Linked DNA regions of Schizosaccharomyces pombe. The main gene of each other region encodes a partner of the protein of the gene in region 4 in a complex. Each region holds a gene or a part of one and is shown on either strand. Other genes may lie near its edges. The genes, in order: tfb2, ssl1, rad15 and tfb5.

Evidence for each region.
Region 1: tfb5 (region 4) and tfb2 share a complex: the UniProt entries of both Schizosaccharomyces pombe proteins name them as parts of the 7-subunit TFIIH core complex.
Region 2: tfb5 (region 4) and ssl1 share a complex: the UniProt entries of both Schizosaccharomyces pombe proteins name them as parts of the 7-subunit TFIIH core complex.
Region 3: tfb5 (region 4) and rad15 share a complex: the UniProt entries of both Schizosaccharomyces pombe proteins name them as parts of the 7-subunit TFIIH core complex.

The regions. Positions count from the first base shown.
Region 1 is NC_003423.3:3,752,186-3,756,272, reverse strand, and holds tfb2 (transcription factor TFIIH complex subunit Tfb2), read right to left. Parts: upstream 2,374-4,087; 5' UTR 2,204-2,373; coding exon 1,881-2,203; intron 1,836-1,880; coding exon 815-1,835; 3' UTR 556-814; downstream 1-555. Other genes in the region: the13 (acyl-CoA thioesterase), read right to left, coding at 1-340; ESCRT III complex subunit Did2, read right to left, coding at 2,879-3,079, 3,132-3,203, 3,259-3,327, 3,370-3,516, 3,719-3,796, 3,837-3,856, 3,897-3,912. UniProt on the Schizosaccharomyces pombe protein: Component of the general transcription and DNA repair factor IIH (TFIIH) core complex, which is involved in general and transcription-coupled nucleotide excision repair (NER) of damaged DNA and, when complexed to TFIIK, in RNA transcription by RNA polymerase II.
Region 2 is NC_003421.2:382,557-386,580, forward strand, and holds ssl1 (transcription factor TFIIH complex subunit Ssl1), read left to right. Parts: upstream 1-1,634; 5' UTR 1,635-1,916; coding exon 1,917-2,134; exon of another isoform or gene 2,135-2,264; coding exon 2,265-3,312; 3' UTR 3,313-3,491; downstream 3,492-4,024. Other genes in the region: SPOM_SPCC1682.06 (uncharacterized protein), read left to right, coding at 1-211, 257-582; meiotic pumilio family RNA-binding protein Mpf2, read right to left, coding at 3,568-4,024. UniProt on the Schizosaccharomyces pombe protein: Component of the general transcription and DNA repair factor IIH (TFIIH) core complex, which is involved in general and transcription-coupled nucleotide excision repair (NER) of damaged DNA and, when complexed to TFIIK, in RNA transcription by RNA polymerase II.
Region 3 is NC_003424.3:662,552-668,150, reverse strand, and holds rad15 (transcription factor TFIIH complex subunit Rad15 ), read right to left. Parts: upstream 3,804-5,599; 5' UTR 3,370-3,803; coding exon 1,051-3,369; 3' UTR 504-1,050; downstream 1-503. UniProt on the Schizosaccharomyces pombe protein: ATP-dependent 5'-3' DNA helicase, component of the general transcription and DNA repair factor IIH (TFIIH) core complex, which is involved in general and transcription-coupled nucleotide excision repair (NER) of damaged DNA and, when complexed to TFIIK, in RNA transcription by RNA polymerase II.
Region 4 is NC_003423.3:2,807,984-2,811,100, reverse strand, and holds tfb5 (transcription factor TFIIH complex subunit Tfb5), read right to left. Parts: upstream 1,228-3,117; coding exon 1,021-1,227; 3' UTR 562-1,020; downstream 1-561. Other genes in the region: SPOM_SPBC32F12.12C (golgi membrane protein involved in vesicle-mediated transport), read left to right, coding at 1-29, 152-352; glyceraldehyde-3-phosphate dehydrogenase Tdh1, read right to left, coding at 2,454-3,117. UniProt on the Schizosaccharomyces pombe protein: Component of the general transcription and DNA repair factor IIH (TFIIH) core complex, which is involved in general and transcription-coupled nucleotide excision repair (NER) of damaged DNA and, when complexed to TFIIK, in RNA transcription by RNA polymerase II.

The DNA.
Region 1 (4,087 bases), 940 kb from region 4:
ACTTTGCGTGCAGTAAAATTGATGAACCTAAAGTACCACCACTTTGTAAAAAAGTTTGATTCATATCTATTGACACGCCAGAAATAAAAAGCCCTCGACTGGCCAATGCTAAACTTCCTCCCAAATCAGTGAGTGCTGCAATACAACCGCCATGCAAATTACCCATACGATTTAGGTGATGCTTCTGCAGTTTCAGAGAGCATTCTACAAATCCTGGAACTGCACTTATAATTTGTATATCACTGACTACATGAGCATCAAACCCATTGGTATTTACAAAATCCTGCCAAACAGAACGAACGAAAGAAAGCACCTTAGTACCAGAGCTATTAATTGCCATTGTGTCTTAAAACTTCGTTTAACAGGTATCAATCACTGTAAAAGTAAGTACCTCAGGTGAATTGGTTATGTTGTGGCAGTTCTTGGCTACTCGCAGCAGCGATACTTGTAGTTAGTAAGGATTTACAAGCCATTTGCCTGCCTATAGTAATATCACCAAATCATTATTACAAATGGTAATATAATTAAATGAACATTAAATACAAGAATATGAATATTGTTTGGATTATTCAAATAACGGATATTTTTTTTTTCTAATGACGAGAAGAAGAAATTCATAATTTGAACGTTAAAGAGTTGCATCATTAAAACTTGAATTTCGTATAAATATCCAACACGCGTATAGTTAACATGGCTAATGTTGAGCTTATGTTATATATATGTTTATTGACACCAGTAAATTACTTACAAGTGATTTGAGATTAATTTAATATTTTCTAATTACCACTTCTCTTTTGAACCATCCAAAAAATATTCATTTGACAGCTCGTCTTTTCAAGTATGCGATCATGGGCTGGGCGCCTGTCGTAGTTATGAAAAACATTCTTTTCAAGGAACTGTCCCAAACCAAAACCCCGAGTTCTTTTGCGTACTCTACTGCTTGGTCGAAGCCAGAATCAGTAAGAAAATCGCGAAACAAAATTCCAGGAGTAGCCCGAAGTCTATTTTTTTCCAATTCCCATAAATAAATTTGATCTACTAATGTAGGAGGTAAAAGAGGAACATTCGATCTCATCTGAGGGTGAGCATGAGTTGTCAAGTATGTAATAATTTGCTCCGCTGCAATTCCATTCATCAAAGCACGACGAATACTATCCCGAGTTATCACACCGACAACAAGATTTGAAAAACGCGCCCTTAAGTTAGCAAACAATCCGATGATGGCAATCTGTAATGGGGAGCTTGTGTAAGCATATAATCGGTAATTTGTTTCTACAATAATAAAACCTTTATCATCATCATTTTCACTTTGCTTTCCATGCAATGAGCGATAATCAGTTGTCAGACCTGTTGCCAGTCTGGTTGGATAGAAACGCTTGGAAGTAATTTTTCTTTGATAAACTAATCCATATTCTCTTAGGTCTTCAAGCATGATTTGTTGTGTATCTGTTAAGAAGTCCACTGAGTATGCCCTCCCCAAATCCAAACTTCCAAGCATAAATAAAAAGTGCAAAACCTGAACAGGATCCATATGCGTGTCTTCAGATAGTTTTAAATAATCCAAAAGTAACGTCCAAATTTGAGCATTTATATCCTGTAACAGAAACTGAAAACCGGCACGGGTAATACGTAGCTGGTTTTTTGGACCAGACATTAAACCGCCCCGCTTTAATAGACTTAAGACACCTTCTCCAGGAAATTTAGCTTCCGGAGTTCCTACCATGAAGTGCAAGATTGTTTCCCAAGTTTCTTTCGCATATGCGTCAAGAAAATCAACCGTCACCAAGTGCTTGTCTTCATCGGTACATGGCACGCCAAACGAATTGTGATTTCCTCTAAAAAGCTTAATTAGTTTATACTCAAAATTCAATAAAACTTACCCTCCAGTCAGAGCAGTTATAAATTGTTTGCGAAATTCACTATTTAGAGTGATATATTGTCCATCAAATTGAAATATATGCATCCTAACCAGTTTGTTGAAGGATTCAGATTGATAAACTTTACTCGAAAGTTTGATCCATAAATCGAAATCTGAGAGTGCTACTGGCATAGGATTGAAAAGCATAGACATGACATACTGTCTAGCTAGAATTGGCAATAAACGAAACACAGCAAGACAAGCAGCTGGCTTTTGGTAAAGCCTTGCATGATTTGGTAACTGTTCCAGGAAGTCGTTGATACTAGACTTGAATTCTGCTTGCATGGTGACAATTTGCGAACCTACTTCAAAAGGTTTAAATTGGCGGTTGTAATCTCTCTTTATTCAGCTGAATAGAACAAAATCCAGTGTACTCAACTAATAAACTTATTTACGATTATCAATCTTCCATAAATGCCAGATAAGCAATCATCGCGAGACCGAAGGTGGATGGTGATCAAGAGCGAGTCGAATTACTGGTATTAAATAGGCTAGAATAACAAGCCAAAGCTTCCGACAATGACAATAACAATTTTTTTTTGCTGATAATTACATTAACCTGTGTACATATTTATTACAATTCAAACTTTTATGCCCAAGTTGCGAATTGTCGTGATTAGATAAAAACATATAAACAATCATTCATACTTAAGTTTTAAATAAAGTCAGTTTTAAAAAAAAAAAGATTTGTTTTAAATGTTCTGAATATTTACAGTTACGTTAAATATTTACTGTACTATTACTTATTTAGACCATTAGAGATGCATGCTTGGTTGAAATAAACCGCGGGATAAATGACCCTCGAGAGAAAAATAATTTGTTTTTCAAATATCAGTGAAAAACATATAAATCCTTAATCATCTAATTAACTTCTTCCGTATCAGCTGAATAAATTGTGCGTAATTAAACTCTTTCATTTATGCAGCAAAAAAATTTTGTTATTTGGACTGGAATTATACATCAAGACCTTAAAGCACGTAAACGTTCTTGTAAGTTGTCATCTTCTACAGGAGCGGCGGGAGTAGGAACACTGGCAGCAGGAACCGAAAGATTATTGTTCATATTCTGGTTAAATTCCAAACCAGCTTCATCAGCTACCGTTTGCATTAATAAATCTACATCTTCTTGGGGTGTATCGACAGCAGTCACTGATCCCATAGCCTTATATAGTGTTAGTTCTAGTCTTGAAATATGATTAATCAAGGAAACTTACCTTATTCATATAACCCGTTTGAACATTAACATCATCGAATTGCGCTTCAAATTTATCCATGACTTGTGAAATCTGTGGGTCAGAAACATTTGAAAAAAAACTCATTCTACGAGAATTAGGAACTCACCATCTCCAAATTCATTGTTTTCATAGCTCTGTCCATTCCCCGAACGACACCTGCCATATTTCCCGACACCTAAATAGTCAATAAGTATGCCACGTTAAATTGCTAACATACAGCACGCATAGTTACAGCAGTCTGTAAACGACTTGAAACCGCATCTATTCTTGAAGAAAGTTTGAGCAAATTAAGGGATTCTTGCTGCTTCCGAATTGCATTCGATGCATATATGCGGGCAATTTCTGAGTTGCCTTTTGTGATAGCCTAGGTAATAACAGTTAGTAATGAATAACGCCAAAAAGTAAAAAAAAATTTTTATCTAGCAAATCATATGAAGATGGAATAATCGACAAAACCAAGACTCTGCAAAACCACCAAGAATTACAATAGCAATTGATAGATGAGCTGTAAAAAAATTCATTGATAGTGACATGCTTGGAAATAGCAATCATTACAACAAACAAACCTTTTTCACTTTTTCCCGTTCAGCACGCTCCTCTTTCGCAGCTTTAAGTGATTGTTTATTCAGCGACTTTGCAGCAAACTAACGCATTGTTAAAAACAAACTTCAATTAAGAAAATACCTTTAATTGAAACAGAGATGCTTTCAGGTTAATCAATTATCAAAAAAATTACTTACTTACCCTCTAAATTGCTCATTTTGTTTGTAAAGGTAAGCTAGCTGTATAATGCTAATTCTATTGATTGAGCGTCTGCTAGTAAGGCTGATGATTTTTAGAACTTCTTAATACATTACTCGTAATGCATTTTAACAAAATTAAACAACTTCACTAAGGAAGATAGTGGGGTCTAAAATTGACAGTATCTTAGTTTA
Region 2 (4,024 bases), on a different chromosome or scaffold from region 4:
TTAAGAAAGCGTTCGGAAAATGTGCGACTTACACAAGCTAGATATGCGATATTTCATATCTTCCTTCCTTTCATTCTTACTTTATTGCTTTATCATAATTTTTATAATTATTTCGATCAGGCATTGGCGGATCTTAATTCTGTGGTTAAATATGTTATTGAAACTATAGTGTTAATATTTACATACGTGATGACAGTGATTATTGTTTATTGTAAGTTTTTGAGATGATTTGAATTCATGACTAACGATTTTCTAGTTTCATTTTCGTTAATTAAATTAGCGTTTGAAGAAGCTTATGTTTATGCACCGTCTGTAGCTAAAGCGAATGAAGGTCTAGCTAAAGCGATTGCAGGCCTAGCTAAATATGTAGCTAAAGCAATTCAAGGTTTGGCTCATATTATTTTATCCTTACTGTTGTTTATTCTCGGGCTCGAAGTAATAGAACAAGATGAAGAGACTGGCGACGTTGAAATGTCGTCTATGCGAGGCCAAGCAATTACCACAGAGCCAGCAAGTGACAATACAATGGCTGAGGAAACCGATTGCAACACTTCTAAAGATGTAGAATCGGGCAGCAACTAAAAGTCATGGCTAGAGAAAAAAATCAAGGGGCTGCCAACAGTTGCGAGGGTTTTTTTTATTTCATCACTAATTTTCTTACTTTCTTGCAAAAGTCACTTTTCTCCTTTATTTCTATTCCTTGTATTATTATCTTATATGCATCATCACTTAATCATTTTCGATGACAGTCATCACTATTTTTGTCTCTGTTATAGAGCAAACACGATGTGTATTTGTGGTGCTAGGAAAATTCATTTAACTAATGAATCTGTTGTCAATTATAGATTAATCATCCTCTTTATTGTTTTACCAAATTGATATACAATCCTTAATTGTGACTTTGTAAGATTTGCGACTTAAAAAATTGTTCAATTAAGACATTACTCAAAAGATGCAAAGTAGTGATTTAACCTTTTTTTTTGTTGGATATATACGAAATAAGGATTCCATTCATCATTCTCAAGTTTTGGAGTTTTAAAAACCAGTATATACAGCAAATATAAGTTGAAATTTGTTTCTAAGACAAATAAAAACGAAAAAATCGACCTTGGAGTAGAACGAGAACTTCTTAAACAATGCGATTTCGCAATTCCTAGTCAGTAGCCAATTTCTGTTCGAGAAAATCAATTAAATGAACTCTTTCGTCCTGCAAACCATCCAACATTCAGCCTAAGCGAAAAGTAATTATTCTTCTTATGTCCATATCACTTGTAGCTTTACATAAAATATTGGCAATTACGCAGTTTGCAAATTTCTAAGTCTCTACTATATTGCAATATGCAGTTTGTACAAATAACCGAGCCATAAATAATTTTATAAAATACGATATATAACTCATCCTTAAAGAATGAGGAGTACAGATTTATTTTATATTCTTCTTTTACTTTCATAATTTCCTAAGTTTTTTCAAATAACAGAAATAGTTGTATACAAATTTCATATCACAAATCAAAGACTGATAAACACGAATTAACGCAGCATAACGAAATTCATTATTATATTTAACAAATAATGGTTGCGCTCCTTGTCCGTATTGTCTTCGTGTAAATGGTCTCTTGTTCTAGTACTTACTTAGTCTTACCATTTTACTGGTATGCCCAGGAGTCATTGCTTTTTAAAAAAATAAAACTAAAAATAATAAAAGAAAGAACTTTCGCTCATTGCATGTAAAGCAACTCGACGCGACTATTCAAATTACCAAAAGTTCACTGGGTAAAACGTGACTTGAAGAAATACATTCGCTTTGAGTTCTTTAGTCTGTAGAAACCAAGGAATAGAATTTGTGCAATATTCATTTATCTAATTATCAAATAGCGTTCTGGCATAATACCTATGCTCGGTTAAAATAACACTCAATGAATGAGAACCAAAAAAGTTTTGACTCTGACAAGTCGGAAAGCGAGGATGAACAAAAAAATGGAAGAGTTAAAGTAAGAAGCAGGAAAACTGACGATAATGAGGGTTATACTTGGGAAGGTGAATATCAGCGTTCTTGGGATATCGTACAGGAGGACGCAGAGGGTAGTTTAGTAGGCGTTATCGCTGGGCTTATTCAAAGCGGGAAACGTAAAAGGTATGGCGTATCAAAATTGGTTTTCTTATGTTCTTCATTTGTTTGTTAGTTGCCTATGTTGGGCATTTGGAAACATATTAGTCTTTTATAGCATCGATGAACGGTATACTAACTTGTCAATCTGATTTAGACTTCTTAGAGATACAACTCCGTTACAACGAGGTATTATTAGACACATGGTCTTGGTGTTAGATTTGAGCAACTCTATGGAGGAGCGTGATTTTCATCATAAGCGGTTCGACCTTCAGATAAAGTATGCTTCTGAATTTGTTCTTGAGTTTTTTGAACAAAATCCTATTTCCCAATTATCGATTATAGGCGTAATGGATGGAATCGCTCATCGGATAACTGATTTGCATGGGAATCCTCAATCGCATATTCAGAAGCTTAAATCTCTTCGAGATTGTAGTGGAAACTTCTCTCTTCAAAATGCTCTCGAAATGGCTAGAGCTTCTTTATCACACATTGCTTCCCATGGCACTAGAGAAGTCCTTATCATTTTTGGTTCCATCTTATCATCAGACCCTGGCGACATTTTCAAGACGATTGATGCTCTGGTTCATGATTCTATTCGTGTCCGTATCGTTGGTTTGGCTGCTGAAGTCGCCATTTGTAAAGAAATTTGTAATAAAACTAACTCATCTACGAAAAATGCCTACGGCGTAGTCATCAGTGAACAACATTTTCGCGAACTTCTACTCGAAAGCACAATACCTCCTGCTACTGATTCGGCTAAAACCACTGATGCTTCTTTGGTAATGATGGGATTTCCTTCTAAGGTCGTTGAGCAATTGCCAAGTCTTTGTGCTTGCCATTCAATTCCGTCTCGTGGTGGGTTTCATTGTCCTCGTTGTAAAGCAAAAGTTTGTACTTTACCGATCGAATGCCCTAGTTGTTCTCTCGTTCTAATCCTTTCAACACATCTTGCTCGATCTTATCATCATTTGTTTCCATTGAAAAACTGGAGCGAAATTCCTTGGTCCGCAAATCCAAAGTCCACTCATTGCTTTGCGTGTCAGTTACCTTTTCCGAAGCCGCCGGTTTCACCGTTTGACGAATCTACTTCATCGATGCGGTATGCATGTCCCTCGTGTAAAAATCATTTTTGTTTGGATTGCGATGTTTTTGCGCATGAACAACTTCATGAGTGTTATGGATGCCAATGCTCCGGAAATTAAAGTTTCTTTTGGTATATTAATGAACGCATTTATTTATAATAATTATTTTAAAATACTATTATGCTACTTATTCACAAATATGTAAAGAGATATATATTTCAATTTACTTATTTAAAGAGATCGTTGCTTAACTACCTTATCCGGAAGATAGTGAAAATTTGATCTATTGATGCTTCAGTAAGTGTTAGAGCTGTATCATATATAAAATAAAAACTAATTAAAATGTGGAAATGAATATATCCCTATATTTACAGATCAGAGGTCAGTATTGCAGTTGTAGTTGATTACAGAGGAAACCTGTTTTTGAGAATTCCATTTCTCGACTAAATAAGCAACCTTCTGACCGTACTTGCTTCCCCGAAGAGAAACCATGTGCTTTTTTATATGCGTAATGACAAGGTTTTTCTCAGCTGGTTGACCAAGTTGAATTATTTGCTGAATTAAATAGTTGCCATACTGATCAGATGCAATATCGATTAAAGGCTGCCTTGTTCGGTCAACTCTCGCGTTTGTAATTTGTTTTAGATATAAGGAAATGAAATTTTTTGGGCCAGACTTAATTGCTTTTTCAATGACCTTAGAGGCAAATTGGTCAATACTAAATTCCACTGCACGATTCAATAATGCATCAATGACTCTTTTCAAATCCTCTCCTTGTCCGTTTTCTACCATGTGTTGCACCACCCAGTTTCCCCATTGACCACGTGCAATA
Region 3 (5,599 bases), on a different chromosome or scaffold from region 4:
CTAGCTATTGGCCAAATTCTCAAAGAAACCTGTATCGAAGATTATATCATTTAAGATACTATTAAAGTTGCTTCTTTTTCTGTAATTTGACAGCTGACTGTATTCAATAAGTTACTTTGCTAATCAAAGATACAAAGCAGTAGTTATGACAGGATTCTGACTACCCCAACGTGACTAGAGACAACCCTTGCAATAAGCTACACTTATTTTTTTTTCTATATTTAAGAATTCCTGAAAGCGGTATCCTTTTTGTGCTAGAGTAATTTTTTTATACAGTAGTTTGGTAAAGAAACCATCATTGATCTTATATGTGCTTGGCAATTACGTATAAGCCAACCGTGAATCCGTAAAACCAAAAGATTTTTTATTTTCAAGAAATTTATATATTACATAGAATACAGCAATGAATCAGTTGTACAACCCCAAAACGTTCATTTATTTAGAACTAAGTATGGGAGACTAATTTTATCGACATAAAACTATCAAGGAAATTTTTTAGATTATGAGAATATATTATGAATATGTAAACTTTTGTTTTATGTATCTAAATGATAAACAGATGTTTTGTTTATATAACTAGGCTTACAATTACTGCATCACGTATTTTAACTAGCTCGCTTAATGTAAGCTTAATTTCCATAGCAGCATGAAATTGCCAATAATCACTCTTTGAAACGCTGGATTGTTATTGATGGGATGGAAAATTTAAGAAGCATTACAACAACTGAAACCGATTTTATTTGAACACAGTCTCTAAAAAAATTTTAAAGTACTTCGAATTTAGCGACTCGCAAATTAATTGCCAACTGAGTGTAAATAATATTTTTTCTCTGCTCTGCGATCTTAAAACAATTCGTAAGTAGCATGCGTATCGTGATGACGATTGAAATGTCCACTATACAACTCTCGAATACAAGTTGATACATACATTGTCCACACCTACAAAAAAGTTAGCCATTCGCTTCCAAATATCTTCATCGCTGTGTTCATGAGTTTTGGATTGCCTTAGTAAAGATGATTAGAATCAAAGTATTTTACAAATGGCTTCTATTAAGTTTCAACCACATCAATATCCATCTCATCCTCATGTTTGGATTGTTCTATAGCCGCAGACTTCAATGCTTTCTTCTGATGAATCAACAAATCATCAAGACTCCACCAAGAAATCCCTTCCTGATCAGACGCAGTGAAAGGCTGTGCCATAGTTCGTAAAAATTTTTTCGCCAAAGCGAGGGACATATCAGTGCTTAAATTTGTAGCGCCTTCGGTTATATACTGTTGAATCCATTTAGGTAATTTTGTACGCTTATCAGACCGACCATATCGTTTATCTGCTAACACCATAATTCCATGATCATCTTTTCCACGCAAAACGCGACCTAAACATTGGGCAGCATGCCGCATGGCATCAAATGTTAAGAAATCTGCTTCCCGAATTTGATACGTATCCCTCAGAAATTCTAACCGTGCTTTTAAAACACGACTCTCAGTATACTGATACGGAATACCAAACATGATTACTGCTCTACCATAATGATGATCAAAATCCACTCCTTCTGAGACTTTTCCTCTAGCGACTGACAGCAATACTGCTCCACGGCCATTGCTGCAAGCAGCCCGGTAAGTCTCTAAGGCGAGAGTTGTTTCATGAGGATCTGGTGTTTCCACCAAAATCAACTTATACTTCCAGACTTCATCTAGAATACCCATACTTTGCCAACTAGAAACAATACTTTCAAGGTAGAGATAACTTGGAAAAAATGCGACTAAGCCATCAGGTGTAATTTTCGAAAACTCAACCAGTATATTACCGTAATTGCGAACAACACTAGGATCATTACGGGCTTCAAATTTTGAAGAAATAGCTACTTGATCGCTACCCCGAGTAACTACCATAGGAAGGAAACAGTTTCGTGCAAGTGACATTCCATACGATTCCTGCATAACAGTATTAAACTGCAACATCTTGGGGTACATATCGAGGGGGGATAAAGTACCACTCGTGATAATCACAGACCTAAATCTTTCGAAAACTGGTTTAATAGCTATTGAGGCGTCAAGACAGGAAAACCGCAATATTGGATTGGGAACTGTAGCATTTTCTGTTTCAAAGGGTTCCAAAATTAGGATAAATCCACGCTCATAAGTAGCAACAAGGGTCGCAAAAGCTACTACTTGCTGCAAAGAATGAAAATCTTCAACTAGTGAAATTTGTAAGGCACGAACAAGACTAGTGAGTCGCTCAGCGCAAAACCGAAGCGGCTTTTTGTCTATAAATGTAATGTCTTTAACATGTTGCAAAAAAGAAGTTGGTGTTTCAGCAATAACGTGCAAAACTTTCATCCTTGTTTTTAAATATTCTACAAAACGCTTCAAAAATGCAATAAAATGTTCGGCTCGTCGAATATTTCCAGGAACAGCTTCCTTTAAAACATCCTCAGGCAAAACGGGATTCGCCATAAACTGGTCTTCGTCATTTGCGGCATTAGCATCTTGAAGGCCCCGAACAAGCTTTTGGTATTCATCCTGAAGTTTTTTTGAGTCAGACTGTTTTACTTCGTTGACTTTTTGCTCAAGAGACAAAATGCTCTTCGAAGCTTTTCTCAAAGAAGATTCTGTCAAATCAATACTTAAAGACTCAATACACACATTGTCAATATTGTGTGCTTCATCAAAAACAACAATGCAATCTTTACTGAGTTCTCGAGAAACTCGTTCAGCAATTTTGGGGTCTAGTAAATAATGATACGAATAAATAATAACATTACAAAACGGTAGCATACGACGTACAGTAAAATAGGGGCATCGTGTAGTTTTTTCGCCGTATTCTGTGATATCATCAAGGGTCCAAACACCGTTAGATATAAGGCTGTGTGGCTCAAGATCTTCCAAATTGTCGTGGAACTCACAAGTAGGAACATCCATACCAGCCAATCTTTGCTCCCGCACAAAACCCGCCGTAAGTGAGCGACAACGGGCATCTACCACATTCCCATTTTTTTCACGACGAACAGAAGGGTGTAAACATAAATTTTTGCGACTGGTTAGTCCGAGACCCAAAAATGGTTCTTCATATCCTAACTGTGAAGTCCGATACGCCATTAAACGCTTCAATTCAGCTAATGCTTTATCAATTTCCGACATGGTACGTGAACAATAGATGAGCTTGCGATGCTCAGGATAATGTTGTTGATATGAAACAATAAGGGACAAAAGAGAAATGGTCTTTCCAGTACCCGAAGGCATTTCTAAGAGCGCAATGCCTCCCGCATCCAAAGAATGTTTCAAATCACACATATACTGATACTGCTCGGGATAGATGCGTGGATAAGGAAACAGAATAGGTAGATCGTCAATATAGAACTTCATTATGGGTGTAATCCGTTGACTTTGAGGAAATTAATTTGAGTATATGACAGCCTATTGGACCAAAAAAAAATTTAGGAATTAAATAATAAGATAAAAAGTTGAAACAAAAGAATTATGAACTAGCATTGATGAATAATAGTGGGTAAAGATCGCTTAACAATCGCTTCATAAAAATGAAATGAATAAAGCGAGAAATAAATTTTTATGGGTATTATAAGAATGAGGTAGGTTCTGCTTTGGTTCAATATTTAGTCGTCAATCACTGATACACAAATATGAATAAGTTCACAAAGATAAATAAATAAACATGGGATGGAAGAGGGTAAAACAAAACGAACCAAGAAATAATTCTGACCTAAGGTTTAAGTGAGCTACTTTACAGTGAGAATCTCAGGAGAAACTACTTGTCGATCCAAGCTTAAAGAATGAGTCCTGAAATTAACAGTGGCTGCTTTATATTTGTAGTGCATATAGAACTGGATTATGAAGAACGCTGAGTTGGTACGGTAAACATTTATAAGCAAAATACTGTAAAGTACGTTAAATTGGATAATATTCGTAAATACATGGTGTACATACAACTATACATTGATGGAAATGACATGGTTAATGGAAGATGCAATTGCTTAATAAATACTAGTTTATTGGAAAAAAAATTCGTATTTTCGTAGTTACCGAGCATAAGCGCTACTTTGTTTTCTGAAAACAAGTTTCCGCAATACTACTCCTAAATAAACACAAGGCAAAAAGAATACATTTGCAATATTCCATTTATTTTGTTTTACAAGTCAATTCCCGACTCTGTAGACAAGTGAAAAAGGGCAAACTCACATATAGCTGCTGAATCATTTGCAAACTAATAACCGCTTATTCAAGCTTAATGAATATTATTCTAAAGAGGGAAAAACAAATACATACGTATCAGGATAAAAAATAAAAGGAATTAGAATCGCCAGGTGAGCAATAAACAGCAAGTCACCGAAGAGTTATCTTCTTGAAATCATACAGAATACTATATCAACAGTTTTTGAAATGAATGAAGTGGTTTTTTATTATCCCGTAATCACCGGTTAGTACAGTTTACCGGTTTTAATGACATTCCGTATGTTGAGGAGACAATACGGATTGATTTGCCTGTTCACTTATGTGTAGATGATAAGGAAAAGTGCTTTATCAATTTTTCACGAATTATGAAACCCATCAGCAATCATGTTTAATGAAAACATACCCAAGGTTGACATCAAGCAAATCAGCAGATCGTCAAAACTGTTACGTTTTATTTTACCTAATGTCTCTTGGCAATCTCTATCAATCATCGATGACAAGTATTGTGAAAGATGAAAGATGATTAGTAATGATCAATCTTGATATTTTAAAAATCTCTCCCATTCACTAATTTCTGGCTAATTAATTAACTCACTACACATCTAGTATATCGACGAGTATCCGGCTTTCGGGTATAAAAGAAGAGCATGAAATTCCACGAAAACAAACTTAACGAATCATTCATTAGCGATGCTACAAAACAATATACTGTTGGAGTTTGCCGCTCGGTAACAAGAAAATGGCATTCATAACAACGACCCATTCCAACCGTAATGGGCCATACTGAGTTTTTCTGTGGTTACTCAAAATCGTTGATCAAATTCATGGTAGCTGTTTCTTGATTCACTTTTACTCGGGACTTGTAAAGCCGATTTTCGGAAAAGTGTGATGAATAAATGACGCTGTCGGAAACAACTGGTATTTTTGGGTTGGCGAGTAGGTTATTTTCTACAAAACATACAAATAATACAATACATTGCTAGCAAAATCAATAGTGCATATATAGTACTAATAACAAAGAGTATTTAAAAAACAACATATCGATTTAGCAGAAAAAAATGGGAAGGAAGGTATTGAAATAGAGGATAGATGGCATGGCTCATTAAATGTAGGAAACCAAAGTAAGGATGACTGGTTTGAGATTATTTCCTTACATCCCGTAACATGCAAAAAAATGCAGCAATTTAACACGGTGGAGGGAAAGTATCGAATTTTTTTACTGGTAAATGTAATATATTGGATTGAAACAACTCCGCTTGCCATTATTAAATAAAAAATAATTCTTTTCGTTAACTAAAAAGTGAAATCAAAATTAATTTAAAAAAAAAGAAAAGTTAAAGGAATACTATGCTACCAATATTTCCCTCGAGTTTATATTGATAAAGCATTTAGCTAGGCTTACAAA
Region 4 (3,117 bases):
ATGCTTTTGCTAGCAATTATTACCGTGGTGTAAGTTGTTATAGTTTCTTTTAAGAAAGGCACACAGGGGAAAAAGCATGCCTCTGGATATTTTTAATTCCTTTGTTGCCTTCCTGCTGTCTTTTACATACAGTGTTTATTAACTCTTTTAGCTTGTCTATTTTATATTTTCCGTGGTAACCTTTCTCAGTTGCATCTTTATGGCTACTAGTCTTATTGCCACCGGCATTGTGCTCGCTCTTACTGGTTTATGTTACACCTTTGCCGGTATTAAAGGTCAGGCTTTTACTTCAAGTTCCACGCTTGGTGGAACAGGTATCACGACCGAAACACCTCCCAGCACTATGGTTTAGAATATGCAAAATTGATCTTTATTGATCTTTTTCCTTGTTCATTTGTTTATAGGACAAGCATGAAACTATGCCTTTTCCTTGTTGTATGTTCTTCCAGTTCCCGGTGTTGAAAAAGTTATCACGCGTATGAACTGAACTATCTTTCTAGAAACACCACCAAGTTTCAATTAGGAATGCATAAAAATATCGTTAGACAAAGAAGAACATTTCTCTTATTATACATATTAATTATATAGATAGTATAGTATATTCAAATAGTATAAACTTTCATTCAATACTAAAAATTAAATAAAGACTTGCAAGCAACTACTGAATAGCTCGGCGTAGTTAACAATATATTCAAAACTTATTTTCAAAAAATACAAAATCAGCTGGCTCCTTTCATAATTTTTGCCCATCGGTACACGAGTTTTGGGTACTGTTATGTAATTTGACACAAACGTCAAGTCATTAAAAAATAAACCAACCTTTTCACCCATATCCAAATAAAAGGTAGAATTAATTTCTTTTTTGCATTATTTTAAAATTTTTTTACAATTTAAAATTGAGAAAATGATCATAGATCGTTGACATTGAATGATCCATTAATCGTACAATATTAGGTTCGTCCATCGACTGAAACATTCAGTTCATCATCCAAAGAAAACTTTCGTCATACTAATCTCTTCTTACTCTTCAACTTGATATGTATTTTCCTCAAGGCGTCGTTCTAACTCTGCTTTCACCTGTTCTAGTCGACTTTCATTTACTAACAATCGTTCTTCATCGATCTCTTCGATAACGATACCAGGAGACTGTTCGTCCATGTTCAAAATCAATTGCTTAACGGTTGGGTCACATTCAACCAAGAGTAAGCCTTTTTGTGCGCGTGGCATTGCCTCAAATTTGGTGTCTGCCAGCAGAATCATGGCATGCTACAAGCTCCTTAAGCCACAGGTATCAAGTTACCCATGATCGTTGGATGCCGAATGTAAGAGCAAACAAGAATAAATATCATGCAAGTTTGTTGTGTTAAAGATGGTAATGAATTTGATTATTATGATTATATGCAAAAACAAATTATTTATATGAATAAAACAAGTTGAGGTATTTGAGATCAGCAAAAATTGAAAAAATGATATGACCATTTCGGAAACCTTTTGCTACCATTGCTCATTCCATCCAGCCTCATACTTTTGTCTTAACGGACATATGTATTTTTAGATTGACAATAAACATTTTCGTTTTTGTTGATTAACATGTAATCATGTGATGCGCTAGTAGCGTACACAACTAACATAGCGATGAATTGTTTGTACTTTACAGTGGGTAAAAATTTTTAAATTACAAAACCGACTTCGGTTTGAATAAAGTCTAAAGTGTGCATTGGGAGATCAACTAGTTCTCGGGATGCAGACGGAAAAACAGTAAAACAAGCTCTTCGCGGTACAAGTGAAAAAGATCAAAACGGGCGTTCATGCTTAAGTGCATCTTCATATTAAACTTAAGCTAGCGAAATGGGGGACAGTGGATGCCTCCTACCTAAATCCATCAGTAAAGTAACACCGTCCCCACAAATGCGACTCACCACCAAAGCAATAATATATAGTATAAATAAGACTTTGACATAATATCCTACAAGGAAACTGACAAAAAAAAATTCACTTAAGTTGACCAAATGAAAAAGAGATTACACAAGACTACAAAAGAAGATCATTTACAAAAGGAGACAGGCAAACTATACGTATCACAAACCAAAACGAAAAAAAGTATTTATCAAAATCATAAAATTTATTTATAAGTATTTATAAGTTCAAAAACAAACGCTCAGCCATCTCATCACTGCAACAAAATTAAAAAAAATATATGCAACAATGAATGAGAAGGAGGGTATCAAAGAACAGAGGAAATTTGTAAAAAAGTCATCCATCTATTTATTCACATAGAGTGCGCGTCCACAAAAAAAATGCGAAAATCTAAAAAAGAAAACTCCCGCACTGCAAACGACAACGACTCCTTTGTCTAACATAAAGAAAAAACGGGGAAAACAACTCCAAAAGACTTTCCTGCATTGCCTTTAAGCACCCACCCGACGTTTCTTAGCATCGGGATGATTAGCTAGTTAGTTGTCCTTGGCGGCAGTGTAGGCAACCAAGTCAACGACACGGCGGGAGTAACCCCATTCGTTATCGTACCAAGAGACGAGCTTGACGAATTGAGGAGAAAGTTGGATACCGGCAGAGGCATCGAAGATGGAGGAGTGGTTGTCACCGCAGAAGTCAGTGGAGACAACAGCGTCCTCGGTGTAACCCAACACACCCTTCATGGGGCCCTCAGAGGCAGCCTTGATGGCGGCCTTGATGTCCTCGTAGTTGGTAGGCTTGGCCAACTTGACGGTCAAGTCAACAACGGAAACATCGGGGGTAGGGACACGGAAAGCCATACCGGTAAGCTTACCGTTAAGAGCGGGAATAACCTTACCGACGGCCTTGGCGGCACCAGTGGAGGAGGGGATGATGTTGGCGCTGGCGCCACGACCACCACGCCAGTCCTTCTTGGAGGGACCGTCAACGGTCTTTTGGGTGGCAGTGGTAGCGTGGACAGTGGTCATGAGACCCTCCTCGATACCGAAGGTGTCGTTGATGACCTTGGCAAGGGGAGCCAAACAGTTGGTGGTGCAAGAAGCGTTGGAGATAACCTTCTCAGAGGGGTTGAACTTCTCCTCGTTGACACCGACAACGTACATGGGGGCGTCCTTGGAAGGAGCAGAGATGATGACACGCTTG